2 linked regions of the Mytilus edulis genome follow. The protein of the gene in region 2 binds, or shares a complex with, the protein of the main gene of each other region. Links are inferred from orthologs where the notes say so. Each region holds a gene or a part of one and is shown on either strand. Other genes may lie near its edges. The genes, in order: WD repeat-containing protein 82-like and CXXC-type zinc finger protein 1-like.

Evidence for each region.
Region 1: CXXC-type zinc finger protein 1-like (region 2) and WD repeat-containing protein 82-like share a complex: the UniProt entries of both Drosophila melanogaster proteins name them as parts of the SET1 complex. The link is inferred for Mytilus edulis from reciprocal best matches to the Drosophila melanogaster genes Cfp1 and Wdr82.

Annotation. Positions count from the first base shown.
Region 1 is NC_092344.1:104,247,058-104,260,138, reverse strand, and holds the start of WD repeat-containing protein 82-like, read left to right. Parts: upstream 1-7,381; 5' UTR 7,382-7,430; coding exon 7,431-7,591; intron 7,592-9,887; coding exon 9,888-9,985; intron 9,986-11,696; coding exon 11,697-11,763; intron 11,764-13,081. Other genes in the region: glycerate kinase-like, read right to left, coding at 755-906, 3,281-3,712, 5,954-5,961. UniProt on the Drosophila melanogaster protein: Component of the SET1 complex that specifically di- and trimethylates 'Lys-4' of histone H3.
Region 2 is NC_092344.1:87,706,182-87,718,526, forward strand, and holds the start of CXXC-type zinc finger protein 1-like, read left to right. Parts: upstream 1-6,646; 5' UTR 6,647-6,732; coding exon 6,733-6,768; intron 6,769-12,345. Other genes in the region: dynamin-1-like protein, read right to left, coding at 5,889-5,990. UniProt on the Drosophila melanogaster protein: Component of the SET1 complex that specifically di- and trimethylates 'Lys-4' of histone H3. Essential for Set1 association with chromatin and trimethylation of histone H3 at 'Lys-4' at transcription puffs.

The sequences.
Region 1 (13,081 bases), about 17 Mb from region 2:
ACAAATGCATGTTTTGCATTAACAATGTATATTGCCATTTTAGTTGGAGGTTAGGCTAGCCATAAAACCAGGTTCAAACTATCTTTTTTTCTTAAAATGTCCTGTACCAAGTCTGAAATATAGCAGTTGTTATCTACAATTCTTTTCTATGTATTTTGGCATTTGCTTTGTTGTAGTTGAGTGTTTCTGTTGTTCCATTGTGTTTCCCTTGGTCTTTAGTTTGTTGTCCAGATGTGTTTTTGCTAAATTGAATTATGCCTATTGAACAGCGGTATACTACTGTTGCTGTTATTTATTAGTCAAACAATTTTTTCTCCATAAATATTCCTGATCAGAATAATCTGAATATGTGTATTCCTTTTCTGCTCAAATATTATCAGATAAAACTTTAGGTACATTGCATATATGTTAAAAATAGCAACCCAATGGCACAACAAACAAAAGGGCATCAGAATTAAGTTCATTCTATTGCCAATTTTTTTTTCAATATTGTATTGTATTTTTTCATTTTATTTTTTTATTTAATGACAGATTAATGATGTTTGACTTGATATCAGCCAAACTTATTCTGTTTTGAAAAGTAACAAGAGTAGGAAAATTCCATTCAATTTTAATTAAAATTGGCAATAAAAATAAAATTAGAGTTCAAGAGAGGACTCAACTAAGGAAATTATTCTTAAAAGAAGAACTTAACATCTTAAAATCAAATAGCTGACCAGTGACAAGGCTTACTAAATATTTTATTTTAATATACCTGATATCAAGACAATTAGGAGATCCTTTTCTCTCAGTTTAGAAACCAAATCCTGAATTCTCACAGCAGTTTGGTTACAACTTTTATCTGGCATATTGTTTTTAGATCCTTCTCTCACCTCTATTTTGCTGTTAGAATCCAGTAACATATCACTGCAAGATTATAACAGAAATGAATAAATTGAATAAAAAAAAAAAAATTATAAAGAAGATGACACATTTTTTTTATAAATGTATATGTGTTACAGTGAATTTGTATAATCAGTGATTATGTAGAATCCCTGAAATTTTCAGGGATTATGTAGAATCACGTTCTAGTTTAGGGATTATGTATAACCACTAATATTTTCAGGGATTATGTATAATCACTAGAAAAAAAACGTTAGGGATTATACATAATAACTGAATTGAAGAAATAGTTTTATTTATAAAAAAAATGAATAAAAGTCAAATAATTTATTCTACAAAATCATATTAAAACATCATTATAAACATAAAATTGTAAAATGTTAAGCACAAAATATTAAAATGATAAACCCATTTTTAAAAATGTTAGGCACAATATTTTAAAATGTTAAACACAATATATTAAAATAATATGCTTCACATCTGTTTCTATCACAATATCCACATTTTAAAAAACTTTTTCCTTCACATATCGGATCAAATTTTTCGACACACCTAAGAAAAATAAAGTGTTCAGTAAAACTATTTCAAGGTATCCCGAAAAAAAGGAAATAAGCAACCTCAAATCTGTTCGAGCAAAATACCATGTTTAGTGGCCAGGCAATATTCTTTTTCAGAATTTTTGTGAACAATTGCCAATGATTATGTTTTTTGGGTTTCCCTTTCCTTTTTTCCCTGCGGATTTGTTATGAAAATATTACACCAAATGCCAGCTTCCTCTAAAAAAAAATTATTTATCAATCCTTAGTTTTGCCTGTTTTATCATCATGACATTTAGATGCGTATTAGTTCTCTTGGTTTGATTTTTCTTGTTCATTTGACCAAAAAAAAAAAAGTTCCATTATCTACTTTGCCACAAATAACAAGCTCTTTAGATTTACAAATAGAACTTGAATATCCATTTAACGCTGGCTTTTAAGCAACAAGTTATCGCTATAAAGGGAAGGTTGATTATTATTAATTTTGAAGTCTTCAACTTTAATTCGAAATCCTGTGTTGATTATATCTGTATGATTATCCTCTGTGTTTTAAAGCAAATTTATTTCATCTGGCAAGGAATATGAAAGAAAAAAATTATAATTTGTCTATATTATTTATTTTTTAACAAACAAAGGTTCTTTAAATTATTGATAATCCCTGAAATCATATTAGGGAATATGTAGAATAATTATTAAAATGTTCAGTGATTATGTAAAATCACTGGTCATTTTTAGGGATTATATATAATTACTAATGATTTCAGTGATTCTACATATTCCCTGAAAAATCAGGGATTCTACATAATCCCTGATTATACAAATTCACTGTAACATATGCATGGTAAAACCGAATTAGACAAAATGCAAACATCACAATTAAACAAATCAAATTTGGTCTTGAATGAAAGACAAGCATTTACATGTATACTGTATGTTCTTTTTCAAGTTAATACAATAAATTAAGCCCTTCATGCCAAAAATGTGTACATGATCAACACATTTACTAGCATTCAAAATTACTATAAGAAATATCAAATACAAGTACTTATAATTACATTTGATGCCATAACAATGAGATTGTTTTTCTGCACATTATTGTCATGCAGAGCATTTGCAGTCATAAATGTTTTTTGTTGGGAGATTTTTGTAAAACATTTATGATATCATTTCAATCTAAGAACATGTAATGGACCACTTTTGAGTTTGTCCTTCACCAGAAAAAACTCGTCAATTATGCGTGCCTTTATGGCATCATTTACCAGATAGAGGGGATAACCTGTATCCCTGCACTATTAATGTTCATCAAGTGTCTTAGTGGTAGTCATTGTGCTGGATAAACTAGAATTAATGTGTGTCTCTAATGACAGAAGTGCTGATTCAATTATGAGAATTCAATTTGCCTAATAATACATGCAAAATAGCATCATAGTTTTCCACTCACTCAACATGGAAACAGAAGTGTACATGTAAGTGCCCCTAAATGCACGAATGATGTTTACTAAAACCAAAGTTTTTGACCGAAATGCATCTAACTCGAAAGTTGGGTATTAAGATTATCTCCCCTTCTTATGTGCTTGTCCAAAATCAGGAGCCTGTAGTTCAGTGATTGTTAATTAATGGTTAGTGTCTGTCATATGTTTTTTTTTGTAATTGGTTTTGTTCTCAATAAAACTGTCTAAAATTTTTCATGTCAGGCCTTTAATAGCTGCCTATATTGTATTGGTAATTCTCCTTGTTGAAGGCCATAAGCTTTTCTATAATAGTTTGCCTAAAATTATGGAAGATGGATGAGAACAGACAGTGTTCCATACAAGTGTCAATACCAAATTACAAAAATAAAATTCATAATTTTGTACACTTACAGCTTGCCAGCGTCACTGAAATTCTCCTGAATTCCTGTAGGTACACTAATTATTCCTTTAACTATATGCTGTGATAATGTATCATCTACTGCTCTGGCCATTCCCAATACAGCCTTTCCAAAACCAACCACATAAACATTGTTATCTAATTTATATTTTTTATCCTCTATGATCAAATTTTTCCCATTGTGATCCAACTGAATATGTTTCCGTATCAAATGATGGGGTAGTACAGAATTAACAGCAGATGAAAATATAGACACTACATCTTGATTGGCCATCTCACCAGTGTCCTTTCTTCTTACACAACTGATGTAAGATGAGTATTTGTAAAAATTAAACGTCCATCCATTGACTGGTAAATGTTTCAATACTCTAGGTTGTCTGCTTTGTGAAATAAATTTACAGACTGGACAAAGCCAACTGATGTACCTGGTGAATTAGAAAGAAAAAATATACATTTTCATAACAAAGTCAGAATGCCATATTTTTATTTATTGGTAGGATATAAACTAACACAATAGCAACTTCAAAGCATATTAGAAATGAGTGAAACATTCATTTCCAGAAAAAAAAAACACTTTAGTGATGATTCCACAGCAAAACAGATGACACTTGTCTATATATAGCTAGCACCATGCACCAAATTAAAGTTTTATGTCGTTTTCATAGAGTGTACATGTACAACATGTGTAATCCTATCTTTTTGTTTGTACCAATCTTAATAAGAATGGATTTCATTCTATAACAGCCTGCACAGATTACTTAATGAGACAAAACATAATTACTGACTTGCATATTTATTTTATTTTATTGCTTATGTAAACAGTGCTGCAGATTGACTAAAATGTAATGGAGTTATCTTTCTTGCACTATTGTGTAATTCAGGGTCCACCTTTAAGGAATGAGTTTTTGTTATTTGTTTAAAATTTCAAATGGATTCAACAGATATAATTAGGCATCTCACAACCTAAAAGTGTTTGGTGTAGTTTATGCCTAAAGGTGGAATACTACCATGGGTTTCCCTTAATTAGTCTATTAAATTTGCAATTTTCAAAAAATTGAGCAGAAAATACTTGGCATGAGTAAAGTTTTATCCTGTACAGTACTATGGTACAGACAAATTTCACATAACATTTCATTGCATTTAATATAATAACCATCACTGGAAGTTTTAAACCAATGAAGTATTCACCTCTTTTTTACCTGTGTACAAGCTTTAAAAATTAGTAACAATGTAACCTCAAGTTTCCAAAATATTCTATAGTAAAACCCAAATATAAAAAAAAATAATGGTGCTTTGAAATACCCAGAACTGACAGTGATCTTCCAAAATATTTAGACACTGGAACCCTTCCACAAGAAATATGTAAAAAATTCCAAACTTGATTTAATTTAGAACATATTCTTAACTTCTAGTTTATTTTTGGCACTTGATTTTCTTAAAATCCAGTAAAGTTTTTAATTTTATAAAACATAATTATTATTTTTTTTGTCAAATTCCTCTTGTGGCTGTCATGCATTTAAAATTTTTCATTTTTTATTTTTTCACAGTAAATTTTATGTAAACATATTTGTCAAATCCTTCTGATAAACATGTCCATCAATGACAGTAAGAAGTGACAGTCAGATATCACAGCAAAACGATATTTGCACAGTGTTTCCCAATCTCTGTCTGACCGACAAAATATCAGACAAAAAATCATTCAGTCAGACATTTGTCAGACAGAAATTTTAAGATTTTTTGGTTGAATAGAAAGTAGACAAGTTCAAATTTCTCTTTTGGTCAGATAAACCCTAAAACAGTTTGGCACAGGCTGTTTGCATAAACTGACATATATTTGATGTATTATTAAAGGGGCACTAGGTACATATGATACTTAAAAAAAAATCAAATTGGGATTTTTGTTTGTGCAAACATTAAAGAAAGTGAAAAGTGAAATAATTTGCTTTAAACAGCCAGTATGGTTCAATTTTGTCAAAATAAAATGTACACTTTCTTTTAGACGATAAAAATATCAGCTGACTTTGACGAATCATGCTATTTTTTTCCAAAAAAAACAGTAAAGATAATTATTTGAGACATCTGACGAATCACGATTATGATATATTGATGAATCACAGTAAAATTTTAAACAATTTGATGATAACGCGAAAATTACTGTTTGACGCCTGACGGTAAAGGGCATTACCACCCTCGTGTAAGGCATCATAGCAAAATAGTGCAAAACAATATCTCTTGACATGCTAATATGACAAGAGATTTAATGCATCAATGAGGGTGGGTTGGAGGGGTCCAGAACCCACAATCCCAGGCTTAAAAACATGAAATCCTGAGTTCCCAAATTTAAAAAAAAAAAATCCAGCCATCCCGAAATTTTCGAAGAAAGCAATCCCAGATCCAGAAAGGGTCAATCCCAAAATCCTGAGCTTATAAACACCTGATCCCGACATCCCAAAAAGGTTCTGCCCCCCTAATTAATTAGACACAGAAAATCAAGGCAGTAAGGAGTAACAGCAATGTGATAGTAGATCTTCCCATAGATAGAAAACAAGTGCCTGTGCTTGAGGATGATAAATTTGATAATGACAAAAAGAAGCTTAAAGTTTTATGATAGAAATTCGAATGCACCTACTAAATAAGCCGACAGGAAACAAATGAATGTATATTACCGTGTCATAGTCTTAAAGGGGTCATAGAGATAACAAGACCAATGTATATCTAGTAGATCTTTTTTTCGTCTGCTAAGGTGTCCTCAAATCTTGTCCCGCAGTTAATGAAGGTTTTTTTTAAACAAAAGACTAAACAAATCTCTTTATGTTCATAGATAAATGACAATAAAGTAATAAGCAATATGTACAGGGGTCAGAATTTTTTTAATACTTAGATTTGTTGGGGAAATATTAACATTAGTTCAAAAAATCTAAATACCAAATTAGAGTAAAATTTAAATTGCACTACAACGACAATAAATAGTTCGGTGTGATGTTTATATTTTCATGATTTTGGTGTTACATTCTGTCTTTTATTCATTCTTTACTTAAAAAATAGAAAACCTTTATTATTTTATTTGTGTGTATTTTTTACAAATTTATTATTGTATTTATTTATGCAATGGTTTGCCTTGTACAAATGTAGCTTTTTTGGTGTTTGGTGATATTAAAACAATATAACGCAGCGGTCTCACTAATTAGCGACAACAAGAATTTTAGCGACAACAAGCGTCAACAAGCGACAAGAAGCGACAACAAGAATTATTTTAGCGACAACAAGCGACAAGAAACTATTTAGCGACAAGAAAACATTTTTTTTTAATTAAAATTAATTATTGCAATAAATATTAAAAGAATATGCAAATGAAAATAATTTTAGCGACAAGAAAGTTAAAATTGATCATCTATTATGAATAACAGCCAGTATTACGTTTAATTATTGTATTATGAGATTACTTTTCTTTGTGTTTTAGAGCATATTATTTATCTTATAATTTGTTTTTTAAAACTCTGTTCATGCAATATATATTAAGCTCGCAAAATGAATTATTTATGCATCATTGTCCTGAAAATATTGACACAAATTGTGAAATACAAAGAACTGAAATCAAACAGGAGGAAAAGAAAATTGAAATGTGAATGTTCACAATCTCTTTCTTCCTCACAAATGTTTCATTTCTTCGACGGTCTCAGGGGCGGATGCAGGAATTTTCGAAAGGGGGGTGCTAACCCAGGGCACCCAGGGCAAAGGGGGGGTGCAAAACATATGTCCCGATACAAATGCATTGATCGGCAAAAATAAAGGGGGGGTGCGCACCCCCGGACCCCCCCCCCCCCCTGGATCCGCCACTGGACGGTCTATCTATCTATATATATATATATATAATAAAACATTTTAATTAGACATATCTGCTCGTATATTTTAAAAAAAAACCATTAAATACAAATTTCTAATAATCTAATAAAAAAAAATGTTGTCTTGTCGCTAAATAGTCTTCTTGTCGCTTGTTGTCGCTAAAATAATTCTTGTTGTCGCTTCTTGTCGCTTGTTGACGCTTGTTGTCGCTTCTTGACGCTTGTTGTCGCTAATTAGTGAGACCCTAACGCAGTAAATAAACAACAGCGCCTCCTACGAATTGAGGCTCGAATTCACAAAATGAAGTTAACTGACAATGTTGTTCGAAACTTCAGAGTTGCTAAAGTATTTAGGGAAAATACAGAACGGATAAATAATTTAGACTTTTCGGCAAACGGAGACACTCTTATTTCAAGCAGTGATGATGACTCTATCGTCATATACGATTGCCAGAATGGAACGTAAGCTTACAAGAACTGGCTTTTGGTTTCCTTCATAAACTGATAAATAATTTTGCTTCAAGCACAATTATCACTTATTGTTTTTATAGTCTTATGCACGACGCGTTGCGAGGGACAAAGAATTGTCGGTCTATTATGCAACAATCTGGTTTTGATTGCGCGCTCACATGTGCAATTATTAATAATTTATGCTTACTACTACAGGATTGTATGAAAATCAATGCCAATCAATAGACGTATTTACACTTGTATGCAATTTTGTCCGCCATTACAGAAAATCACACAGGTTCCCAGAAATATCCATGGCCTGTTTAATGATGGCGCCCCATTATCGTTCAAATATTTGCGCCATTTTCAAATGGCCCACGCCATCCTTAAATTGTCTTCCGCCATTGTTCAAAACTGTTATCATTTTTTACAGCCTGACCCCATTTTTTTTGCAATTTTAATTAATTGCATGTAATTGCATAACCCTTAGGTTTTTTTATATTATAATCCAATACAGTTCTAATGCCTGAGGGATATCCGGATTGAGATCGCTAATCACTTGTACCTGAGCTTGTACAGGTAGATTAACAAACCAGTTGGAGAATATTATCTGAAGATAGAGGATTCATTTATAGAATTATTCAACTAAGTTTAAGCAAATGCTTATGATAATTTCGATTTAATAAATTAATAATCCAGTTACAAAAAAAAATTGTTTAACAAGTCGAACACATGCTTTTATTTCAACTTTTATTACGCAATCAGCAGCCCCCTTAAGAAGTACAAAATAAGACGTAAAATATTAATATTATTTCATCGCAAGTAACTCAAGTACTGCTGTAACAATAATATAGAATTCCTTTAAAAGTTAAAAACTAAAAACTAAAATATTTACTGTGAAATACCATATCGTAATTCCGAATTCATTTCATAGTTTACAATCAAATTGAAACATCCTTGTTTCCGGGTTTATATTCATACTCTAAAAAGATGTTTGTTACATAGCATCAATTTGCTAGATAAAGTCATTAAAAACCTTTTCATTTGTCAACGTGTGCTTTACAAATCTCTTCAACCTTTTACATTACCCATACGAATCGTTATGTTGTTACTGAAAATCAGCCATACCGGTATTGGGTTCATGACTTCTGAATTTGACAGTGTCTGTGAAAAATAAACTCCACATGATTTTAAACCCCCATAACAATTACCAAAAATATCAAGAAAACTACATGTGGATCTTCATGACAGCTTTTGGTCATTCTCAACTAAGGGGGACCATGAAGGCTTGGTATTTGAATGGTTACAAACGGCAATTAATGAAAATATTGATACTTCTGTAATGAAAATTCAAATGAATATAATTTAAATATTAAGCAATAAATTAGCATGTTCACCATTCCTTACATGAAGGGATGAAATAGTTTCGATCACGCTACACTGTACGGGGTAGACACGGTTTGTCATGGTGAAAGTTCCTCCCTCGTCCAATTTTCATCTATGGAGATCCCTGGTTTCCTGTAAACTTTGACATCATAATTCAAAACATTTGACGTCACAACGAAAAAGTAATTGTTGTTTGACGTCAGAAGGTTATTCGAAGATGATATAAGGTCATTCTGAGGCATAATACAGCTAAATACCAAAAGTTTATATGCCCCTTGGCAGTATCACTCACTATCAGGTCTGTTTGTCCACAATACACTTTCACACCCTACATGTTAGCCCCTAAGGTCTGTTAGCAACCGACATGCGCACATGTTTGCATCAAATTTTAAATCAAATTCCAGTTGAATTATTAACAGAAAGTCTTGATTCATTGATTATGAAATATTAATTTGTTGTTTAAACTTAGCTTGGTATGAGTAAAAAAGGGCAGTACATTGTTATTCTCATGCAACGTTTTCAGTCTTTTTATTTCACGTTATTTACGTATTTTGACGTTTTAATTTTCGTTTTCTCTTGTTTGGTAAGATGTGCATGCTATGTGTTTCCCAGCATTTATTCCCCGTGTTTCATGTCAGTACTCTGATCTATTGGTATTATAAAAGAGCTAGCACATTTAGGCAACACAGTTTCTTGTTTTGTTGTTGATTGCTGTCTGTTCTTGATTAGAACATTATTGGAGAAGTCTTGTGATTACTTAAACATAACTATTTACTACACTGTACAATCTGACAATGAACTGTGGTAATTGATTTTGAATTAAGTATCTGTATTACATGTACTTATAGTCATGATAATAAACTCAATATCTATAACTTCATGTTCATGTTATGTACATCATGGGAAATGATTTTATTTACAGGCCTAAGAAAACCTTAAACAGTAAGAAGTATGGTGTGGATTTGATTTGTTATACACATGCAGTCAACACAGCATTACACAGTTCAACCAAAGTTGATGGTATATATTTTATTATATTTTTTTTTGGGGGGGAGGGGGGGGGGGGGGGGTCTTTGTATACAACTTCATATTGGAGACATGTAAACTCAAAAGAGTAATATTATAGGTACAAATTGTGTATGCATAGCGTAAATTCATGTGAACATATAGTGTTTCCTGCAGCTTTTAAAAAGGGCAGGGTAGTTGTTAGCTCAGAGGGCACATTAACACGATGGACAACTATTTTAGGGCACTTAATATAAACAGGCAATTTCTATAAAATGGATTCATTTAAAACATACTAGTTTAATGCTATAAAAAGGACATATGCATCTGTAGTCAATCATTAAAACAAATTGTTAAACAAGAAAAAGTGTTTAAAACATATATATGAAATATTTAAAACAACAAACACAATTAAAAACAAAATCAGTTCTTTAAAAATGTTTAAAAACAAGAAAGAACTGTGTCATATATATAAAAATATTGCTTTGGTCATATCAATTGTCATTGTCAAATCCTCCTTTTTTTCCCTAAAAACAGTTTGACACATTCCCTGATATCCAAATCATCTTTTGTATTTGCTGACACTAGAACAAGATTGTTTACAGTTGACACATTCAGTCTATTTCTGCGTTGTGAAACTCCGTGCCTCTTTGGTGCTAAAAATAAATAAATTACAAATAAAACAAGAATATCTTAAATAATCTGGAAGTTTTTTCATAAATTGTTCCTTTCTTAAATTAATTCAAATTAAAAACTGAAGAAGTAAATTTTAAAAAAATAATTTGATGAAAAAATGAATTAATTGAAAGTAATTAATATGCAAGTGATTTCATGAGATCCTTGGCCTAACTCAACTTTTACCTTAAATTATCCCTTTGACAAAAGTTTATTTTTACCCCCGAACTAACACCGTTGCAAGTGCATAACCATTTTGTAATAAAAATCTACAAACCTTTGAAAAAATGATAAAATCTTTCTGTATTTTGCGGCCTGTTTCTCATTTTCTTCCTCACGTTTTCACTTCATCCGATTTGTTGATGGCATGATTAGTATCTGTATTCACTTTTCAATCTATTGTAGTTTGCTAATCAACTGATTACGAAATCGATTACAAAATGGCGTCCTAGTGAACTTTTGTTTACGTTTGAAGGGAAATAACTCAAGCGGTATTCATAAAATATGTCTTTCAGTACCGGTTGTTAATGACGACGATAAAGGCATTTGTCAGGAATTTCGACAAAATTAGGGCAGGGCACCAAATTTTTTTCCCAAATAGGGCAGGGAGTCGAGAAATCGCGGCAGGGCGCCATTACACACCAAAACCACCTGTAGGAAACACTAACATACAGGAAAAACATAGCCCTAATTTGAGAAGTAATGAGCATTTAAGAAAGGTTTACAGCTAATAGATCATTTGTCTTGTTTTAGATAATTGTAATGCCCTACATACAGTAGAAATCATGGTAGTCTGGAGGTTTGATGTTTCCTGTTCTGTCTATTTGTACTGCTAGCTATATAGTCTCACATGTAACATGTGAAAGTTTTTGGTTAAGGTAGTTTACAATGCAGTCATGTTCAATTTGAAAAATAGATTGTGATAGTGTGAAATAACAATAGTTTACAAATGATGTCAAATTTATAACATTTTAGAAATGATTGTGCACCACTACAATAGTTTTGATGATATATGCAGCATGTTTATGTTTGTTTTAATTGTTAATTTTAGATACCATCAGATATCTGTCTCTTCATGACAATAAATACATCAGATACTTTCCAGGCCACACTAAAAAGTAAGTAGTTTATCACATCTGAGTTATATATAAATAAGAAGAAATAACTATAGGTGACTGTACAGCCTTCAACAATGATCAAAGCACATACTGCACAGTAAGTTAAAAAATGCACTGAAATGACAAATGTGATATAACTCAAATGACCAGCTTCAAACATTTTGTCAACATGGTCAAGGGAGACAATTGTGAAATTTCAGTAAGTTTCAATGAAATAAGAAAATATTAATTAGAATACTATGTATTTTTGCTGGTACAAATATTAGATATAAAACTTGTGTAATCATGGAGAGTTTTCTTGTTAGCACTAATACCACATCTTTTTTTATCTTAAAATCTTATGAATACATAACATGTGACCTTAAAATAAGAGCATTCAATAACATACATGTATCAGGGCTCACGCTACCAGGCGACTTGGGCGAAGAAGTCGCCCTCCCGACCGTCACTTCGCTTTCCCCGACCCCCAAAAGCGAAAACAAGTCGCCCTGTTCTTGACGAAAGTCGCTTTCAGTCGCTTCCGTCATTGGACATTTTCAATTTTTACCAAGTTGATGAAACATCAATTTTTTACTGATAATTAAAGAAATTCAGACATAAACTATTCATTATCTTTAGAAAAGAGGTTGAAGCATTGTCTTCGCAGTGTGTATCAGGTTATTTGATAAAAATACAACTTTTTATCACTTCGTGCATTTTCGCAAGTTCCGGTGCTTGTTACTCGAAAACGTACATCAACCTAAATTTCGGCGGCAAAATAAGTTTGTTACTTCATTTAAACGTGATAAAAGTTGCCTCCAGTAAATGTTAAATCCATTTCTTGCATTAAAACCGTCATGTTCCTTTCCAAATAACTTGTCAAACATCGTTTATTTTTGTAAATTTTCTTGCATTCGTCCGCCATTGACCGATTTCTAAACTACGGATCTGAACCGGACCAGCTATGACCGAAATCCGTACTTTTACAATAATTACTACGGACGCACGGATGGAACAGCTGACAAAAGAATATTGATCCCAAAGGGAAAAATTACGCATCCCACACGAATTAAGAGACTTTTGGTTACATCTAAATGATTGTTGTATATAATTCCCTATATTTTTTATGAATGTTTCAAACTATTGATTAAAGTTGCTAAAACTCTGAGACTATTATACTAATATCAATATATTATGGCCCAGCTTAATAACTTTCATATTTTTTTTATGAGAAACACTGAATTTCATACACAAGATAATTTTTTAAAATAAGTTTTTTTTTTAGTGCTAGATATTTAGTTGGTAGTTTCTCACAAGAACCTTAGTAAAACTTAAACAA
Region 2 (12,345 bases):
ACCTGGTGTCTTAGAACGAACAATTAGAAATATACTCCAAATGCTGCAGTTGCAGGGGATGTAGGGTGGATACCTATCTTTCAAAAACAATGGCAATGCTTAATTCGACTATAGTGCCGTTTGAACAATATGAGTTCTGATCGTTTAAACAGAAAAATTTTAATATGGGCAGACATTATGAGTAAACCAGATGCTCCGCAGGGCGTAGCTTTATACGACCGCAGAGGTTGAACCCTGAACGGTTGGGGCAAGTATGGACACAACATTCAAGCTGGATTCAGCTCTAAATTTGGATTGTGATTAAATAGTTGACACAGCATAGGTTTCTGACACAGAATGAATGTGTTCTAATGAACTTAAAATTTTTGTTTTCTCTTAGAGCAATTCACTATGCTGTTGAATATTAATCCTCTCAAAAAAATGTTTGAAGAAATTTTCTTTTTTATTTATGAAATTTCAAATGAGAAAAATTGAACCCAATTTTTTTAATCACATCCCCCTTTCCCTTATTCCAAAACTAATCTCAATTAAAATTTCTAATGGAGTTTGCAACAATAACTACTCATTTAAATACATCATAAAATATTAAGATGTAAAAAAACTGCTTGTTATCACTGAATGGTAAAGATTATTTTAATTTATCAGTTGGTAGTAAAAAGTGAATATTCATTGTATATTGTATATAACAAAGATTTAAGTTGATTCTGGACAAAGAAAGATAACTCCAATTAAAAAAAAATCTTGCTATTGCACAATATTTTGCAATTAGATATTTCTTGCTTACTATTCTGGACAAAGAAAGATAACTCTAATTAAAAAAAAAATTGCTATTTCACAATATTGTGCAGTTAGATATTTCTTACCATTGCGCAATACTGTGCAATTGAAAAGACTTGCTATTGCACAATACTTAATATAATAATTTTAGATCATGATTTGGACCAACTTGAAAACTGGGCCCATAATAAAAAATCTAAGTACATTTTTTGATTCAGCATATCAAAGAACCCCAAGATTTCAATTTTTGTTAAAATCAGACTAAGTTTAATTTTGGACCCTTTGGACTTTAGTGTAGACCAATTTGAAAACAGGACCAAAAATGAAGAATCTACATACACAGTTAGATTTGGTATATCAAAGAACCCCATTTATTCAATTTTTGATGAAATCAAACAAAGTTTAATTTTGGACCCCGATTTGGACCAACTTGAAAACTGGGCCAATAATCAAGAATCTAAGTACATTTTTAGATTCAGCATATCAAAGAACCTAACTGATTCATTTTTTGTCAAAATCAAACTAAGTTTAATTTTGGACCCTTTGGACCTTAATGTAGACCAATTTGAAAACGGGACCAAAAGTTAAGAATCTACATACACAGTCATGACAGTTAGATTCGGCATATCAAAGAACCCCAATTATTCAATTTTGATGAAATCAAACAAAGTTTAATTTTGGACCCTTTGGGCCCCTTATTCTGTTGGGACAAAAACTCCCAAAATCAATACCAACCTTCCTTTTATGGTCATAAACCTTGTGTTTAAATTTCATTGATTTCTATTTACTTATACTAACGTTATGGTGCGAAAACCAAGAAAAATGCTTATTTGGGTCCCTTTTTGGCCCCTAATTCCTAAACTGTTGGGACCTAAACTCCCAAAATCAATACCAACCTTCCTTTTGTAGTCATTAACATTGTGTTTAAATTTCATTGATTTCTATTTACTTAAACTAAAGTTATTGTGCGAAAACCAAGAATAATGCTTATTTGGGCCCTTTTTTGGCCCCTAATTCCTAAACTGTTTCGAACCTCAACTCTAAAAATCAATCCCAACCGTTCTTTTGTGGTCATAAACCTTGTGTCAAAATTTCATAGATTTCTATTAACTTAAACTAAAGTTATAGTGCGAAAACCAAGAAAATGCTTATTTGGGCCCTTTTTGGCCCCTAATTCCTAAAATGTTGGGACCAAAACTCCCAAAATCAATACCAACCTTCCTTTTGTGGTCATAAACCTTGTGTTAAAATTTCATAGATTTCCATTCACTTTTACTAAAGTTAGAGTGCGAAAACTAAAAGTATTCGGACGACGACGACGACGCCAACGTGATAGCAATATACGACGAAAATTTTTTCAAATTTTGCGGTCGTATAAAAACATAAGTGTATAAAAAATTGGAATTTTTATGTAAGGAAAACGTTTTCTGAGTATAAAGCAGAACATTTGTGTATCATTACAGATTATGTTGATAGTACCTCAGTTGTCAATACTGTTATGTCTAAAATGTTTAGTAAATATGTCGAAAAGTGGCAAGGCAATTTACAATCAGAGAAAGCTTTATTTGGTAAAGGTGGTAACAAACTTCGTACATATAACAGGGATCTCCATGGCCTGTTTAACGATGGCGCCCCGCCATCATTCAAATGTCTTGCACCATCGTCAAATGACTTGAGCCATCGTTAAATTGTCTTGCGCCATCGTTAAATTGTCTTCCGCCATCGTTCTAAACTTCATCGTTTTTTGTAGCCCGACGCCATTTTTTGTTATCAATTATAATCAAATGCATGTAATTGCATAACCCTTAGGCTTTTTATGTTATAATCCAATACAGTTCTAACGCCTGAGGGATATCCGGATTAAGATCGCTAATCACTTGTACATGAGCTTGTATACAGGTAGATCAACAAACCAGACAGAATACTATCTGAGGATAGACGATCCATTTGTCGAATTATTTGTCCAATTAATCAACTAAGTTTCAGCAAATGATTATGATAATTTAGATTAAATAAATAAATTAATAATCCAGTTACAAAGAGAACAGTTTAACAAGTCAAACACGTGCTTTATTTTGACTTACGCAATCAGCATCTCCCTTTTCTTAAGAAGTACAAAATATTTAGAATTACTTTAAAAGTTTAAAAGTAAAAACTTAAATATTTCCTGTAAAGAAATATCGTATCGTAATTCTGAATTCATTTCGTATATTACAATCAAATTGATACATCTGCGTTTCCGGTTTCTATTCAGACTCGAAAGATGCATGTTGCACAGCATAAATTTGCCAGATAAAGTCATTAAAAACCTTTTCATTTGTCAACGTTTGCTTTACAAATCTCTTTAACCTTTTACATAACCCGTACGAATCGTTTTGTTGTTGCTGCAAATCAGCCATACCGGTAATGGGTTCTTAATTTGACAGTGTAAATGAAAAATAAGCTCCACATCATATGATTTTTAACCCCCATAACAATTACCAAAAATACAAGAAATCTACATGGGGACTTTCATGACAGCTTTTGGTCATTCTCAACTAAGGGGGGACCAAGAAGACTTGGCATTTGAATGGTTAAAAACGGCAATAAATGAAAATATTGATACTTCTAATTCTATAATGAAAATTCAAATAAATATAATTTAAATAAGCAATGAATTAGCATGTTCACCATTCCTTGTATGGAGGGATAAAATACTTCCGATCGCGCTACACTGTACAGCGTAGACACGGTTTGTAATGGTGAAAGTTCCTCCAGCGTTCAATTTTCATCCATGGAGATCCCTGATATTTCAAAAAAAAATTAAATATTTCTAATTTTATCTACATGTATGAAAAACGATTCAAATTTAATTATGAAAATACAAATGTTCTTGAATAAAACTTAAATTTGAAGGAGTGAAAAAGAAATAGCTATTTAAAACTGCCCTGTATATTTTCAGGTCCGTCCTGGTCTTTAGTGTTACCATTATCAGTTTTCGAGTTAACAGTAGTTTTAAAAGCTTCTAAATACACACAGAGGTGCATAGGGTTGTTTTTTAAAAGTAAATATGGGTAAAATATCATTCCACAACATGAATATTGCACTGAAACGTTTTATTTGAGTATATTGGGGTATATTGGGGTAAAAAGTCATTTTGTGATCGTAAGCGGCTGACAAGAACGGAACAAGTTTCAATGCAAAAAGTGATTTAAAATTAATTATATTCATAAATTAAAGTATTATTGGTGTTAAAATAACATGAAAATGCATAAAATAATGTTATTATTCAATACTGTTATGTTAAAACTGTTTTTGAGGTATATTGGGGTATATTGGGGTATGTTGGGGTGAAAAGTCGCACCCCAATTGGTGCCAATAGGAATACTATAGTCGATGAAGATACGTTTTCCAATGTAGCTGTCAAGAGCAGAGTTAAAACGCCTCTTTAATGGTTAACACAGGTATAGCAGTGTTTTCCTTTTTTCACTAAGGTAAGGTGGGTGTTTTAAAAAATAACTTGCAACCGAGTGTTTTTTTTAAATGTCCAACCTTTTTTTTATTTACTGTGGGTGCACGTGGGGGTCACAAAAATAGAGTAGTATAATATTCACATTTAATGGAGTTAAACAAACATAAATAGAAGTACTAGTCATATTAATTGTCAAATATTCTTTGATTTATTTTTTTTTCAAAAATTTATCTCTTATATCTCTACTTTCATTTACAATTTTATGCATCAATATGGATTGAAGGCCTTTCAATCCAGGTTTCTGTCCTGTTTCTTGCTTTTGTGCCGTATTTTTGGCACACAGAACAGTAGTATCCTTCCTCTGTGACTATAAGTCATTTGAAGTCTTGCTCATATTTGTCTTCACTTGCGTGTCTTTTCCGTTATTTGGTTGATTTTTGTTCAATTTCAAACAACTCCAACATTACTATCAATTTTATTTAACTTATTTAGTCTAGTATTTTCTTTATCATCATCGTCATCTGCCTTTCTTTTTCCCCGATTGATAAATGAAAACATTGAAATTTGACGTTTGGACGCCATCTTTGTCAATAAAAACAAGGCAGGATTAGTATTCAAATTTTAACGGTACGGAACCGAAAAATACCCGGATTTTGAAAAAAAAAGCCGACCACCTCCTAAAATCGAAAGGTGGTCGGCTTTCAAAAGGTCGGCTTAAATGCCGAATGGAAAACACTGTATAGCATTATGGCAATATAAAAACAATCCTTAATGTATAAGTTTAAATGTACTGTTAACTATCATTGTCATAGAAATTACATCAGATAAATAAAAAAACACTTTTTTAAGATTTTTAAGGGCATGCACGGTGAATCCGGGTCCGTCCGCCCTGATTCTGGTTCGCCCTAATACCTGTTTGCCCTGAGTCCGTTCGCCCTGATTTTATTTTTAAGTATAGTGTTGCGTTGTGTGTATATAATTGAATGTGTTGAAGTCGGTCTACAATTTCGCCGAATATTTACGATGTATCATGTTGAATTGTCTAAAGCTAGCTGCTTTACATGCTGTAAGGTTATAAGTTTCAGTACATTTTTGGACTCTAAGTTTTTGAGGACTAAGTTTGTATTTGTATGTAATTACGTTACTAGGAAATATAAGTTTCTGTAAATTGTGTATTTTTAAATGTGTGAAACAACTGAAGACTAAGTTGTTGTCTTGCTTCTACGAGGATAAGTTTCTGACTTATACCTGACATAAAACAACTAAAGACTAACATGACTAAGTTATTTATATATTAAACTTTATTGATACATATCAAAAGTTTCAAATGACACCTACTCAGCAATCAAAATTCAATCAACAGTAATATTAAAAGTAATTATAAAATAAAGTGTAACAATGCAGCCAAGACTTTTATTTAATTAATATAAATTTGGCAAATATTCTGTATTTAACTTTTAATAGATATACATAAATTTAAATAAATTTTAATATATATATATATATTTCGTTCATTGATGTAACATATACATATCATAAATGAATATAGGGCGAACGAACCCAGGGCGAACGGACTATCAGGGCGAACAAACTCAGTGCGAACGAACCTAGGGCGAACATGTAATCAGGGCGAACGATCCCGATACCATGCACGGTCCACCTGATTGCCTATCACAACAATTTGTGGAAGCTGAATTGTCTCTGAACCAACAGTGTTAAAAACATCTTGCAGTTTGTTGATAACAGGGATCAGCCCTTCCATTGCTGAAAGGTTTATTTTCTATTTGATGTTTACATAGAAATTACATCAGAGATAAATACAAATTATTTTTAAGGACATGCACCTGATTGCCTATCACAGCAATTTGTGGAAGCTGAATTGTCTCTGAACCAACAGTGTTAAAAACATCTTGCAGTTTGTTGATAACAGGGATCAGCCCTTCCATCGCTGAAAGGTTTACTTTCTATTTGATGTTTACATAGAAATTACATCAGAGATAAATACAAATTATTTTAAGGACATGCACCTGATTGCCTATCACAACAATTTGTGGAAGCTGAATTGTCTCTGAACCAACAGTGTTAAAAACATCTTGCAGTTTGTTGATAACAGGGATCAGCCCTTCCATCGCTGAAAGGTTTACTTTCTATTTGAATGTCAATCAGCAGTCAGGGACATTTGACTTGTTTCGCTTTGGGCATAAACTCCAAAATTATCTCCGGCACTTTTTCACTTCCGGGTTATAAGGTGAATAAAAGAATGATTTAAATTACCCCGAAACATTTTATATACACATTCAGTGACATTAGATTATTAACATTTATTACTAATGAAAATTTCTAATTTCAACAATATTTATATTCTGACTGTTTTATATATCTTTCACCGAAAAGATTCTGATTTTTTATTTTAATCTAAAATCTTTCTCAAGACAGCAAAAGGGATGACGTATTACACATTGACAGATTTGGCTTACTAATTTTTGTTGTAGTATATTCTCATTATGTCAGAATCTGAAGGCAGTGCTAGTGGAATGTCTGTAAGTTTTATAATATGAGACAGGTGTAACTTTTAAAATAGTACAAAGTCCGTATCAGTAGTTTTTTTTACATGAATTTACAAGTTTTATATGATCTTTAGAAAAAAACTATCAGGTTTTTTAAAACTGCAAGTAAACCTATAGCTATAAATTATAGCTTGATATGGCTGTGATACTGACTAGTTAATTCGTCTATCCTTCAAATCCGACTACTTAACATTGAGAATGATATGGATTTTCATAATTTCTTGATATAACCCTACAAGCTCAATTATGTTTTGAGTGATTATCTCCCCTTTGCATTTTTAAAATTATTTTTTTATGAGGGGAAAAGGAGGAGGGGGGCATGATCTTTTTTGGGACGTCATGATGGGGTGTTTTTATGCTAGGGATTTTCGGATTGACCGTTATCGGGATCCAGGATTTGTTTTTGAGAATTTCGTAATGTCAAGATTTTTTTTCTTCTGCAGGATTTCATGTTTTTAAGCCTGGGATTTTGGGATTAGGGCCCTCCAAACCTCCCTCTTTTATGGGTTTTCATGCTTTTAAGGCGTTACCATTTCCAATAAAAACATGCATTTTACACATTCATATGAGGTTGCAAAAAATTATCTAGCCATACATTTTTATGTTATTATTAATAAGAAGTTCAGTCTAAATCTTTGCAGACAAAATTAGGAGGCACTGTTTCAACCATTCAATTAAGAAGGTAATGATGTGAACAACAGGATTTTTAAACCTCTTATTTCTAAACTCTATGTGCATCTTTACCAATGTCCAAAAACACAAAAAACAAAATGGTAAAATTTGTCATTTAAAGGGAAACTTCGCAAAAAAATCAAAAATTGATATTATGTCCATTCTATATATAGAAATGCTCAAATTTATAGATATTAAAGTTTTATTCCGCTAGATAAGAGATCACCATCGATTTTAAATTTAGAGTATCAACTCTCTGCGTTCCGCCATTTTGTCGTCTTCCCCGATTAAAAATCACGATATGTCTATAAACCACAAAGGACCAAAACTACACTAACCGATGTAGTCGTAATTGCGTGTCGATATCTTGTCAATCGTACGGTTGTTTTATCTGACAAACTAACTTGATACAGAAAATGTTCTTATTTTTTTTTAAATAACCATAGTCTGTTATTTTTAAACTGTTAATATTGGAATTAGTTAAAAAGTCAAAGTTTAAATCATAAATAAGTTTTCCGTGAAAACTGTTTTCGTAAATCTTATTCGTTTATAATTCTTTAAAGTAATAAATTTTATTCAAATAAATTCGGATATTCCCTCATCTGATCACCAGCATGACTAAAGGTATTACTCCCAAAGGTATTGTGAGGGGTGTGAGGTGACACGTCCAGGTATTCAAACGATTTCCTGTCGGGCTTGCAAGTTCATGCATCGTTTCACTTCTGTAGGTATTGATCAGTGTACACGGCCGATAACTTATAACTCTCCATTTTGAACTATCAGGTGTATAATATACATCTCTGTCTTGCGTGTCCGAAAGTGATATAATATACTATAGCCATTACTAAACTCATACGCTTGTTTATAAATAACATTACTGGTGTAAAGAATATTATTTATAAAAATACAAATAATACCAAAAAAAAAAGATTTGATAAAATAAAAATCTATTTACATTTTTTTTCCAAGGTTTAATTTGGGAAAATGTAATATATACTCGTTGTCAATAGTAAAGGACAGATTGGAACATACCAGAAATATTGATTTAATAAAAATGTACGCACTTGTCGACGATTCATTTCTACGCCTGGATAGAAAGTTACGGAGCTATATCGCAATTTAAAATTATTACATGTATACATTGAACATAAGAAAGAAACATACATTTTGTGTAAATTGGGGTAACAGTTTTGTAAATAGACTATTCCACGTATGCCAACAGTATGTAATCATCGAATTCGATAGACCATTGTATACCAAAAGAAGAAGAAGAAGAAGAAGAGGACCAATTTGATTTAAATACAGGTCGATATAATAACTTGCTTCGGTTCATCGAAGTTATGAACATAGTAAAATCACAAATTTATATATCAATTAGATCGTTCTCCAATGAAAGGAAGAAATTCGACATCATCACAATTGTTCCGACATTCATGTAAAACATATGCAACTGGACGTACACTAATAAACCCCAAGGGATGTGAGTATTTTCTAGGAAAACTTTTGAGTATTAAAGTTTCAAATTGATTTCGGGATTTATTTTCTTTCTTCAAATTCAATGACATCAATTTAAAGAATAAACTGCTTGTCCGCTTTAGGGGTATTCTTGCCAGTTGAACAGACTTATAATTACATTCAAAAATAGGGAACTTAAGATGACATTAAATTCGTTGTCTTTTTTTTTAAACATTGTTGGTCAAATAGCTAAAGTATTATTCGTTGTGAGAAGAAGACTATTTTAATAAGGACGCTCCCGATTATGAATAAATTTGGTTGACGTTTTTCACACTTGAAAAGAATTTCTATTCGTAATTTGTCGATTCCATTCCAAGAGGAAACTTAAATTTCCTGTCAATTTTTTAAAACATCTTTTTTTTTCAAATAGCTGAAGTATTCATGCATGGGTTGTGAGATTTAAAATATTTTGATGAGAATATTAATTCCTAAATAGGTAAATAAAGATCGCTTTGGATGGACTAAATCATATAATTGCAATCTGTTTGAAATATTAAAGGTTGGCGATTTTAATTTTAAAAAGTACAATTTTTAGTTCATACACTCGTGTTTAGAAGGCTATTTTTATTTATAATTTTATTCAATTAAAATAATTCAGTATTTTATCGTTACAAAACTAATCAGAAGTCATAATTCATTTAAAAGTGAGCTTATGCAAAATATATATATAAAAATATACAACAGCTATCCAGTTATTGTGCGACCTTATTTCTCCCGTAAATTCATTTTAATTCTTTTTCTTACATTTCTGTGTCTATAACTATAACTGACTCCCGTATATCATTCATACGAAATGTTGTTCACACCTGAAATGCTGAACCGTGACGCCTAGGTGTCACTGAATGAAGATCAAAAGATTAGAATTACATAATGCTAATCTTTTAATTACCTTGAGTTTAACTACGCATTCAACATTCACTAAGTGTAACAAATTAATACACATTTAATTTCCACAGTACAAGCAAGTGAAAATGTTTTCTGGAATGAAGCAAAAAGTTCAGAATACAAACATGTATTTTTTAATACACTATCGATCGTGTCAGTTTTATATGTTTGTTTAAAGTATTTGAAGAAAAAAAATCATAAAAATGTTCTATTGTATTATTTACTTTAATTACTAGAATTCGTATAAAAAATCCAAACATGAATCCTACAATCTAATTTAAAAAGTTGCATGGCTGTCACTTACTTTTCGTTGGTTAATAGCTACACCAAAAGTCGTCGATGCGCTTTAAATAGCGTTATTAGATGGTTAACGAACAAGACTTAAATGAGATTAATTTCACTCCCGGCATGCTCAAAGACTTAAACTACGTCACATAAGTCAGGAAGTTTGATAAAATAAAATTATTAATTCCAAATTTTCTCCCTTATTACTTTTCATATCGAAATAAAACTTGGGGAATATGTTTTTTATGGTATTATGAACATAATAAGATGAAAAGTGAAAAATCGCGAATTATCCCTTTAAGAGCAATATATTTTTAAATAGCTATGCCTGGGAACGCAGTAAGTGTCCTTTTGAATTTCTTTGTCCATGAATATAGTCCATTAGTCTGTACTGTGGCCGACAGTGAATTATAGTTGCAATTTTTTCATACCCTTTAAAAAAATTTTTTTTAATGTTTTAGGCCTCAAATAGCAAGAAGGATGAAATTCCATTGCAAAAAATTGTGGGTCATGAATTTTAAAATAAAGTATTGATTTGAAAAAGGTTAAAAATTAATATGTCTGAAGCTGTCAAAAGAATTCAAGACCCCCTTAATTAAAATTGTCTATATTTGAGTTAGAGCAGATGAAGTTTTCAATAATTTTGATACAATTTGTAGTACATCACACACTGTAAAAATATTATTGAGAAAGCGCAGGTGGGATTAAAAAAAAATCATTTATTGTCTTAAAGAAATGCACTTCAAAATTAAAAACCAATTGTTCAGAGAACAATTGAAGGTCTTTCCACCAATAAGGATCTATTTTGATATGAAAATATTAAAATTCAGTTGAAAATGTCAGTTCCTATGGCTTAATGATGTATAAATATGAATTTTGAGCAAAGGTCAAAATCTAGAACGTCAAATTTACTGATGACCTTGACCTATATTTCAAGGTCATAAACCAGGGACCCCAAATAAAAAGACCCTAGGTCTGTAATATGTATAGTTAATGAGTTATATCACTTTACGTTTAATTCTTAATATAGGAGGGGCAAAAACTCCCATTTTATGTCTACACACCCTTTTAACAAAAATATATAAGTTACGATATGTCGCAACTAACAATTTAGTAAAAATAATTTGTCGGTATCTTATAAGGTTAATGAAAATTAGTGAAAATAGGCCAAAATCAAAATTTAGAATATGACCTTGACCTTTGACCTTTACCTAATTTTCATTTTTTTGGACCAATGATCTCAAAACAAAAGACCCTAGGTCTCTATCACTTATGGTTTTCCAGTTTAAAATACATTTCAAAATTTCAAATACAAAATGGGAACTAACTCTCATATGGAGTCTCTATACGGCTTCGGTCAAAATAAAACAGAACATCCTGAGGATGTAACGAGCAATTTGGCAAAATAAATTTGTCGTAATCTTTTATGGTTGCGAAGGAGTAGTGGCCACAAGAAAAACAGTGTTTGGGGAGATAACTCTTACAACGTAAAGTATTTGGTTACGCAGTGGTTAGTTTTAAAAGTGCATACGCTTTACGATATCATATTCCAAATATCTAAGCGACATCTTTTGAAACATCAATACTACGCAAGAAAAGAATTAGGCGGAAGAATAAAAAAAAAAATAATAATAATAATCAGAAGAAATCCAATAGGTCTTTCCACGGAAAGGTGGAAAGACCTAATAACTGTGTTTTCAGGCTTAGTAGATAAGGACTCAATTGAAGGTTTTGGTTATTAAACTTTTATGTAGATCTTAGCTTGCCAATTAATTTTACTATATGTAAAGTTTCTATCTATCTCTTATAAATTATAAAAATGGGTAAAAATCTTAATTCAAGAGCAATTAATCATGTTAACTCCAATAAGGAGTTATAAAATCATTGTTTGTAAATCTTGTCTGGCAGATCACATTTGCTATTTCATGTGTCTTATCTAGATCTATTACAGTTATCAAGATAAAAGGTAAAATCACAAAGTTGAAAAAAGAAATCTCATTCAAGTGCAATGACTCTTAAAATGTGTCAATTCAAAATTTAGCCAAGCTGAATTATTTGTAAATGTACAAAATGTAGTCTTGCTGATCAATCTTGCTTTAGAAAGTTTGTGATACAGTAACATGTATAGATTTTAAATTTTAAGCAAAATCTTTTAACAAATGTCATTAAAGAGTCAACTGACAAAAATGACTG